Linked DNA regions of Saccharomyces cerevisiae S288C. Each later gene encodes a partner of the first gene's protein in a complex. Each region holds a gene or a part of one and is shown on either strand. Other genes may lie near its edges. A codon is read from its position in the direction of its gene.

What was found.
Region 2: the proteins of MED4 (region 1) and CSE2 are in contact, whole or in part, in a cryo-EM structure (PDB 7UIG), measured with the Saccharomyces cerevisiae proteins. Residues at the interface, in NP_014817.3 of Saccharomyces cerevisiae: Ser33 (codon at 1,259), Leu37 (codon at 1,247), Lys39 (codon at 1,241), Val40 (codon at 1,238), Gln41 (codon at 1,235), Leu42 (codon at 1,232), Tyr43 (codon at 1,229), Leu46 (codon at 1,220), Tyr49 (codon at 1,211), Glu50 (codon at 1,208), Leu53 (codon at 1,199), Val57 (codon at 1,187), Val60 (codon at 1,178), Asp61 (codon at 1,175), Ile74 (codon at 1,136), Asp77 (codon at 1,127), Leu87 (codon at 1,097), Asp91 (codon at 1,085), Tyr94 (codon at 1,076), Arg95 (codon at 1,073), Leu97 (codon at 1,067), Ile100 (codon at 1,058), Asp101 (codon at 1,055), Asp103 (codon at 1,049), Ser104 (codon at 1,046), Leu107 (codon at 1,037), Asp108 (codon at 1,034); in NP_014407.3 of Saccharomyces cerevisiae: Ile69 (codon at 746), Phe70 (codon at 743), Leu73 (codon at 734), Arg77 (codon at 722), Glu88 (codon at 689), Thr91 (codon at 680), Ile94 (codon at 671), Arg95 (codon at 668), Leu98 (codon at 659), Lys102 (codon at 647), Ile105 (codon at 638), Glu109 (codon at 626), Asp110 (codon at 623), Lys112 (codon at 617), Asp113 (codon at 614), Leu114 (codon at 611), Leu115 (codon at 608), Glu121 (codon at 590), Trp122 (codon at 587), Ile125 (codon at 578), Ile126 (codon at 575), Arg129 (codon at 566), Glu132 (codon at 557), Lys136 (codon at 545), Arg137 (codon at 542).
Region 3: MED4 (region 1) and MED7 share a complex: the UniProt entries of both Saccharomyces cerevisiae proteins name them as parts of the mediator complex.

What each region holds. Positions count from the first base shown.
Region 1 is NC_001147.6:656,638-660,101, reverse strand, and holds MED4 (Med4p), read right to left. Parts: upstream 1,356-3,464; coding exon 501-1,355; downstream 1-500. Other genes in the region: ALE1 (lysophospholipid acyltransferase), read left to right, coding at 1-287; DCS2 (5'-(N(7)-methyl 5'-triphosphoguanosine)-(mRNA) diphosphatase), read right to left, coding at 1,777-2,838. UniProt on the Saccharomyces cerevisiae protein: Component of the Mediator complex, a coactivator involved in the regulated transcription of nearly all RNA polymerase II-dependent genes.
Region 2 is NC_001146.8:642,147-644,693, reverse strand, and holds CSE2 (Cse2p), read right to left. Parts: upstream 951-2,547; coding exon 501-950; downstream 1-500. Other genes in the region: DEAH-box RNA-dependent ATPase PRP2, read left to right, coding at 1-374; NRM1 (Nrm1p), read right to left, coding at 1,255-2,004; LRO1 (phospholipid:diacylglycerol acyltransferase), read right to left, coding at 2,313-2,547. UniProt on the Saccharomyces cerevisiae protein: Component of the Mediator complex, a coactivator involved in the regulated transcription of nearly all RNA polymerase II-dependent genes.
Region 3 is NC_001147.6:68,876-72,011, forward strand, and holds MED7 (mediator complex subunit MED7), read right to left. Parts: upstream 1,170-3,136; coding exon 501-1,169; downstream 1-500. Other genes in the region: SCF ubiquitin ligase complex subunit HRT1, read left to right, coding at 1,450-1,815; GAS4 (1,3-beta-glucanosyltransferase), read left to right, coding at 2,425-3,136. UniProt on the Saccharomyces cerevisiae protein: Component of the Mediator complex, a coactivator involved in the regulated transcription of nearly all RNA polymerase II-dependent genes.

The sequences.
Region 1 (3,464 bases):
AACATGAAAAGGGAAAGACAGCAGAAGAAGAAGAAATGAACTTAGGTATTCCACCAATTGAGTTAGAAAAGTGGGACAATGCTAAGGAAGATTGGGAAGATTTCTGCAAAGATTACAAAGAATGGAGAAATAAAAATGGTCTTGAAATAGAAGAGGAAAACCTTTCTAAAGCTTTTGAAAGATTCAAGCAGGAATTTTCTAACGCTGCAAGTGGATCAGGTGAACGTGTGAGAAAAATGAGTTTTAGTGGTTACTCACCAAAGCCTATTTCAAAAAAGGAAGAGTAGATGGCCAAAAACGACAGATGCGTGTGGAAGTCACAGTCTTGTTGTCTTATTTTCCAGTTCCTGTGGGAACTTACTTTCAAATGTTTTTCATACACTTTGACATATTGCAGTAAATTATATATGTAATTTTATATACGCTTTTACCTACACGAATTATTGTCTAACTTTTTTTTTTCTTCATTCCTAACGAGGAAGAGATTCAAGACACTGCAACTAGAAGTCGTCCGGATCAAACAGATCAAGATCAAGATCTAGGGCATCATCATTATTTTCTTCCTTTTCTTTATCTTTGGTATTGTCTGCCTCATCACCAACTTCTTTAGCAGTACCATCAAATATAAACGAGTCTGTCTTTGGTGTACCTTCTTTCTTGGCCATCTGCCCTTTTTGTTCTTCACTTTGAGATGGCGGTACGGTCGGTACTTCTGTTTCTTCTACTTCTTCACCGGGTATTCTAGTTAGCTCTTTACTATGTAATGAGGCCATAGCAAGCATTCCTCTTCGTAGGGCATCCTCTGCGGGCCATATAAAATTGTTGGGTCCCACAGCTCCCTTGTCGAACGTTGGTGGTATTTTGGTAAACTTGGAGAGTTTGGTGGCATAATCCAACAACTCTGTCGAATTGATTTTCGATCTTTGCTGTAAAATTGTGTTTTTCTCGAACTCTACTTGTTCAAGCATCGGTAGTGCTTTTAACTCGTCATGACATTCATTTAGAATTTCCAATATCTTCCTGGTTTTAGAATCTAGTTCTTCAGAGTCTTTGTCAATCTTCTGTAAGTTGCGGTAGATATTGTCATATTCAGCTAACAGTTTGACGTTTTCAAACAAGGCCTCATCAGTTCTGATCAAATCCTTGGCAATATCAAGGTTTGGTTTGAAACGATCTACAGATTCCACCAACTTACTCAATGTATCCTCGTACCGGCACAAATCTTCGTAGAGTTGGACCTTAGATAATTTGTCTTCACTATTCGTGTTTGAAGTAGCCTCTGCTACCAGGGATACAGAGGATGATCTGATGTGACCCATAGAAAACTCTACCGCTTTAGTATCTTGGACAGACATAACATTCGTTGTGTGTACTCTGGAAGTAATTGATACTAGATGCTTTCTCCACCGTTAACAATATACCAGAAAACCTTGTTGAAAACGGGACACGTTATAACTACTTTCCTTCGCGGTATGGTGAGCAGAGAATGCAAAAGTTTATCTTTTTCTCCAGCCTACCTTACGTAGGTGGTAATGCACTATTTTTTCGCATTTCTTTGAAAAGGCTGGCAATACGTCAAAGGCTATGTATGCTATAAGGGAAAGAAAGCTTATACGGAAAATAGCAACTGAATGTACTATGTTACTGTGCATTCGCATTCTATGTTAAAATTCAAAATCCATTGAGATGTATACACAAACATTTAAATAAGACATTTATATAAGCCGGCGCTTCCTGAAGTTCAGCACATGAAAAAATAGTGCTGCTCTTCTACCTTCAACCCAAATTGGTATTGAACCCAGAGCCTTTTTCAGGACTGGTTGCGATACCATCATGCTTCAGTTGCTTTTCAACTTCTTCCTTAAAGCCCTTTTTCCATAAATCATGATTTTCACCAATGACATAAGTAAGCGTCTTCTTCATATAACCTTCAGGACCTAAGAAACCCAACGCTTCTATAACATCTTCCAACAGTATTGTCATTCCGGAGCCTCTCTCCTCGCCTACTCCTGGATGCCTTATATTCACTATATGGACATGAAAATGGTAATATGAAGGTTGATAATGAATGAAAACTCTTAGCTCGTCCGGGTTTACATTATAGTCATAGTGCTGGGGGATGATGGTCTTAATCTTCTTATTGAGTCTAATTAACCAATCTCTATGGTTTGGGTTCAAATCTCTCAAAGATTTGATGTCGTCCCTGTACACGATCGCGACCAGGTATAACGAATCAATGTTGATTCCGTCCCACTTCATATCGGGCAAGATGACGAATCCATCCTCTTTATTCCTGCTACTGTATTCCTTATAAACAACTCTATCATCCTCGGCGCCCTCGTAAAGAATGTTGTTTACCCATTTCATTCTTTCGCTGGTACACATCTCTTGGATAAAGGGCACAACTATGTTTCTATACATATCAGGAGTTTCTCTGACGACATGTAAATCCTGCTGGTCGTATCCCTTGATGTGGAACTGCGAGGCGGGCCAAATTAAGTTAACCTTCGCAGTTGGGTTATGCAAAATATGCTGCTTCAAAACAGACAACCCCCAGTAGTAGATGTCATTCGAAGTTAATTCCTTCAGATCAGTAATACCGTTTAAAAAGGAGTACTCGTCTATTTCACGATGAAAGAAAATCGGAGTGCTACGGCCACTTTGAGAGGGTCTACGTACCGTTTCATCAAATATGAAATGCGTCTTTTCAGCAGTTAACACGGCATCCTTCCCATCTATGCTGCCTAGTAGTGAGATTACCTTTGTATGAGGGTTCGAATCTAACACCCTGACGTATTTAAACCTCCCAATTAAACTAGCTAAATCTTGGGAACCCATCATGTATTTTTTTACTTTTACACGCTCAAATCTTTTCAATTTTGCAATGAAAAGGTACCGACCTAACATATATTTGAAGACCAAACGAAACCCCCGTGCTTCTGTTTCTCTTCTTTCTGCCTTTATACTCATTGGTATTGTCACCCCTTATTTCCCCCCTAGGCGTCTGCGCGGCCGCTGTCATGGGGCTGTCCTTTCGGACTAGCATATAATCACTGACGCTAGCTCTAATCGATCAATAATTAAGTGGAAGTATTTTGTTGAGGTGGGTGATTATTATGGGGAAGATTTTTGACAATCGAATGAACACTTTAACAGCTTTTGGAGGCTAGAGTGCCAGTAAGCTCCATACTTCTTTGGAGTTGATTTCTTTTTCTTGCAGAATAGGTTGGACAAAGTACATCCATCAGAACAATTGCAGGTGCCTTTTGTTCACGCAATTACTGGCTTTTCCTTGTTTGTTTGGTCAAGAAGTTAGTGTTTAGCTTTTTCCCTTCATTTTTTTATTTTTCTTATTTTATAGATGCTTAAATGTCATTTTTGTCTTACTAATCATTAAATAGTTGGTCCGAAAGATAGGTCCAAGCGCAAGTCCAAGCCAATGGCTTGCTCTCGACTGTCTTCCA
Region 2 (2,547 bases), on another chromosome or scaffold:
TAGTTGAAAAGAACGACCAAGCCAGGATGAAGATAGGCAATATAGCGGGCTACATAAATGCTAGAATAACTCGATGCTTCATCAGCGGGTTTCCGATGAATATTGTACAATTAGGCCCCACCGGCTATCAAACCATGGGTAGGTCATCAGGTGGGCTGAACGTTAGTGTTCATCCTACCAGTATACTTTTCGTTAATCATAAGGAAAAGGCGCAGAGACCAAGCAAATATGTGCTTTATCAACAATTGATGCTAACGTCGAAGGAATTTATCAGGGACTGTCTAGTTATCCCTAAGGAAGAATGGTTGATAGACATGGTTCCACAAATCTTTAAAGATTTAATTGACGATAAAACAAATAGGGGGAGGCGGTGAAGGTTTTTTGACAGGTGTATGTGTATTGCTAGAAACGCAGGCTCCATTCTATATGCACGTTTGAAGATGTGGTATGCGTATGTATATATATATATATATATAGACTAAAGATAGATAGCATAGATTTTATCGTTGTAACTTGCGATAAAGATCATCCAAGACGTCTCTCTTAATTTGCAGTTCTTGTTCACGTTGATGGATGATATCCTGCCATTCTGATGGACTTTTACTTAATAAATCCTTGGTATCTTCGTTTTCCGATATCAAAGATTTACAAAGTTTCAAACGATGTCTAATCGAACCTGTTAAGGTTTCCAATTGATTTGAGAGATTGTTTGGATCCTTCCTTATTTGGTGCAGCGAATAAAAAATATGCGGTATAAATTCACCGTTGGAACTGGTGGAGGGAGTACTCAGATTTTTCGGCTGCTGGTTGGTAAGATAGTCTTTTTCATCTCTATTTTCTGCAGACGAAAATTCTTCCTTTGTAGCCTCAGCATTAGGTTTATCGAGAGTAGGATTCGTAGGCAGCAGAATCTGGTGTATCTGATTTAAAACGTTGTTCTGTAGATTCATTTTATGGCGACTTTCAGTGCTCGTGTCTCTCTGGTAGATGCTGGTATGCTTCGCCTTCTTTTTCCCATTTATGCATGTTCTCTTTTTTTCTTTTATTTTCTTCAATTCGGTTACAGTTAATGGCCGCAGTAGAATTGCAATCGATACTAATAAAATCAGGTTTTATATGATATTCTATCTAATTATACGTACAGAACTAAAGCGGAAGTGAAAAGGTAATGTGGAAGATATACGAAGACAATAATATTATTATATACACAATGAAGGAGAATGAAAATGAAAGATAGAAATATTGGGGGTGGGATTATTGGTTACTTGTAAAGAGATGAATTAAAGACTTAGCGGCTTTGATGCTTGTAGGTGTTTCTTGTCTCTGATACAATGTGCGATTATGACTGTTTGAATGCTTTGTGTTTATGTTGTTGCGTATTGGTGTGGTGGTATCTGCGACGTTCATATCTGCGGTAGTGCTCGAGCTTTCGCTGACACCGCGGAAAGATGTAAAGGAAGATGTATTATCGTGAGAGCAAATCGAAGATGGAGTTTTGATCTTAGACCTAGCAGGGGTTTTATAATGACCCTGAGATAGTACTAATTTTCTTCTCCTAGTTAAAGGTTCTGATTTACTGTGAGTCGCGACTTTGGAAGGCCTCGTAATGCTATGCTTTGATTTCAAGTCTGTGAAATTTTTGTCTGTTTGCTTAGTCTTGTATTTATAATAGGCGAACTGTAAACGAATTTGCAACTTCTTGGAAAGCTCAGAGTAATCTCTAGACGTTGTTTTCGTACTAATACCATCCTGGCATGAGGACTTACTGGCACAAGCCATACCTCCGCCACTGCTCCTCATTAGGGGAACAGGAAGACTCTTCGTGTTTTCGTATACTTCAGGACTAACCATCAAACTCTTGATAGAGGGAAGACACACAGTCCCGACGTTGTTTTCTCCATGGTTTCTAGGCTCGCTAGCGTCTGCAATATTGGCAATTGCCAGTTTGTTGATCTTCGAGCTGGAAAACTCCCCCAGTGGTAGCCTCTGCTTCATAATGGACATGAACGGTTGTTTTTCCTCTATGCGTACGTCGCTGCTGCAATTGGCCCTCTCCGCAGCCTACTTAGAAAACAGTGTTTTAAGTTTGTGTATATATAATCTATAAAAGCAAATAACCAATTACACAAACCTGTCAAAAACCTTCTCCTCTATCTACTGTCGTTTGTTTTTTCGTTTGTTTTTTCGCCTTTTTTTGTTTTTGTTTTTGTTTTCTGTTTATTTTCTAGCCTAAAAAGGCGCGTCGACGCGACGCGCCTTCTTTTCGCTCTTTGAAATAATACACGGATGGATAGTGAGTCAATGTCGGTCATTTACATTGGGAAGGGCATCTGAGAAACCCACTGGCTCAAATTAGACAATTGGCGTGGCTCGACGAGATCGCCATTACCGCTTGCAATTTTCAAGATGTAATCGTTCAACTCCGCGCTGCCGAGGATGTCTACGTGTTCGGCGCTTTTTGCTCCACCACGTATATCAAATCGATCTGGCTGGTGTTTCATTTCCACAATAGTAACGTTAATTCCGGCAGGGTTGTACGGTGAAGCA
Region 3 (3,136 bases), 590 kb from region 1:
AAGAAGTATAAGTACTGGGCTCTCCTAGTATTTCCGGTTTAGTGTTACTCGTATATGAGCGTATCAGACTTTTTAACACCCTCTAAAAAAGCAAATAAGTTGGTTTGCTGTGGCACCAAAATAAGCGAAAACACCTTTGTTTAGAGCACGTCTTCTTTTATATAAGCCAATCTTCCACACGAAAAACCGAGTAATCCAATTTACTTTTTCTACTTTTTTTTCATTATCAATCGATTCAGATGCCCAGAGAAGAAAAAGAAAAAAAAGGAAAACAATTTCCGTTGCAGACTCATCTGTGCGCGATTTCTGTGAAAAGGTGGGGCACTTGTGCCTGGAATCTCGGAAATACGTCAATTAATTTTTGGTATATATTCCGATAAGCTATAGTTCGTATTTTTCCGTTCCGAGGGAGGTGTACGGGTGGACTACCACGTGCCTACTATACGCTATACGGTAGTTGAAAATGTATATAGTTACACAAATGATTTATAATAGTGTGGTCATTGGGACGACGATGGAGGAGATTGTGATCCGGTTCTTAAGGTGTCCTGTATGCTGGTGAGTTTGTCGTGTACCTGTTTGCATACTTGCTCGATCTCGCGAATTTCCCCGCGCTTGTATTCTAATTGTTCTTCCAATAGCATAATAAGGGACTCTCGGGACTGATGGGGTCTGTACTCATTAAGTAGGTGGTGAATATTGACAAGAATGGTCCTTATGTTCTCCACTTTGCGCTCATACATATCCGGATTTATGCTCAATACGCCGATGAGTTCCAAGTAATTTAGCAGGAGGGATTTCAATAGTTTGCGTAGCTCTTGGATTTTGTATTGATAATTTGTGCTTTCGTTTTCTGTGGATTTCTTATAAAGTTGGGTGAGTCCCATGCTCTCTAAATCGGGCAGTTGGTCCTTCACCTGCCATATACTCCCAAACGCTCGGTACTGCTGATTTTTGGGCATGGGGGGTGGGATTAGGTAATCTAGCGCACATGTAATCTCCTCTTCACTGCCGCCGTTACTGTTATTTGGAGCCGTCTGCTTCGCACTTGCGGCCTTCTTTTCTTTGTATTTTGGTAATTTTTCCAGATTGGACTGTGTGAAAAACTTCACGTATGGGGGTGGAGGTGGGTACAAGGAGCTAACCTCATTACCAGGATCATTGGACATTTTTAGTTTGTGAATTTTTTTTTTACTAGCTTAAATTTGGGATATGAAACCTCTTTTATGTCATATTTGCACGTCTAATGACCTGCCTGCTGAAAATGCAAGATTCGTTGTTTAAGTTCTAACTAACATTTCGTATTTCGTGATAATAGTTTCTTTTAAAGGTGTGAAGAGGGAGATCATGAAACCCACAATAGACGTATGGGCTTCAATATGTGCAATGTTGGTTGCTACTAAATGTCTTTCTCCAGTGGCAGAGAACTTTAAAGAGAAATAGTTCAACATGAGCAACGAAGTTGACAGGATGGATGTTGATGAAGATGAATCGCAAAATATTGCGCAAAGCTCAAACCAAAGTGCGCCAGTGGAAACCAAAAAGAAGAGATTTGAAATTAAGAAATGGACCGCAGTGGCGTTTTGGTCATGGGATATAGCTGTTGACAACTGTGCTATTTGCAGGAACCATATAATGGAACCATGCATTGAATGCCAGCCAAAGGCCATGACGGACACTGATAATGAATGTGTAGCAGCCTGGGGTGTCTGTAATCACGCTTTCCATTTGCACTGTATTAATAAATGGATCAAGACAAGAGACGCATGCCCATTAGATAACCAACCTTGGCAGTTAGCAAGATGCGGTAGGTGAAAAAATGAATTGCCCGTAAACATTTAAATCATACCGAGGTAGAAGGATTATGGCATGTTCCTTTTTTTTTAGAGTATGTCAACTGGCGCAGTAGATACATGTTTTTCTCTTCCACGTCGAATTTTGTTATATACATAGCATAATCGAGTTGTATGCACCCTTTTTGTTTATCTCGTTAGTAACTCGGGGTAGGAATAAGACATCCACAAAGGTGACAGAACAAAATCATCCTAGCCTTGTTCATAATCTACCTCTATATAGCCGCTAAAAAATTAGTAGTATTTTGACTCTTTAAGAGCACATTTATTATCAGGCTGCTTTTACATACTTCTTTTGTTTAAAACATTTAAAGACGATCACTGCCCTTCCAAAGGACAAATATATATACACAAACACTAGGCCAAAAGTTCACTTATAATAATTTAGTGGTAATTATGTTGGGTAAAGAAATTGCCAATAGTCTTTTTTTTCCGTATTGTAAGGTGAGACTGAGGTAGCGGCACAAAAAAACGACACATAATAGGATACTGAGTAAAGCAGTATTAAAATAAAAAAATATATTTTACCTCGAACGCTACAAATAAAGCAGAAAAGAACAAAATCGTGAGCATGATGGTTTTTTCGAGCACCTTTATTTTTCTAATTTTGGAGTTAGTTGTACTGTGTGAAGCTTCAGTCCACACCATTCAAATTAAGGACAAGCATTTCGTTGACACAGTGACTGGAAAACCATTCTTCATCAAAGGTGTGGATTATCAGCCAGGAGGCTCTTCCGACGTTAGTGAAAAGCAGGATCCGTTATCCAATCCAGATGCATGCGCTCGTGATATTTTATTATTTCAAGAATTGGGAATAAACACAGTAAGAATTTATTCTATAAACCCGGACCTGAACCATGATGCGTGCATGACTATGCTCGCAATGGCAGGTATCTATCTTATATTGGATGTCAATTCCCCATTGCAAAACCAGCACTTAAACAGATATGAACCTTGGACTACCTATAATGAAGTTTATTTAGAACACGTTTTCAAGGTTGTCGAACAATTTTCTCATTACAATAATACTTTAGGATTTTTTGCTGGGAATGAAATTGTAAACGACAAAAGATCAGCACAATATTCTCCTGCCTATGTCAAGGAGTTGATTGGAACTATGAAGAATTACATAAGCGCACACTCGCCCAGAACAATTCCGGTAGGTTACTCTGCTGCAGATGACCTGAACTATAGGGTATCACTGTCCGAATATTTGGAGTGTAAAGATGATGATAAGCCAGAGAATAGCGTTGATTTTTACGGAGTTAACTCCTACCAATGGT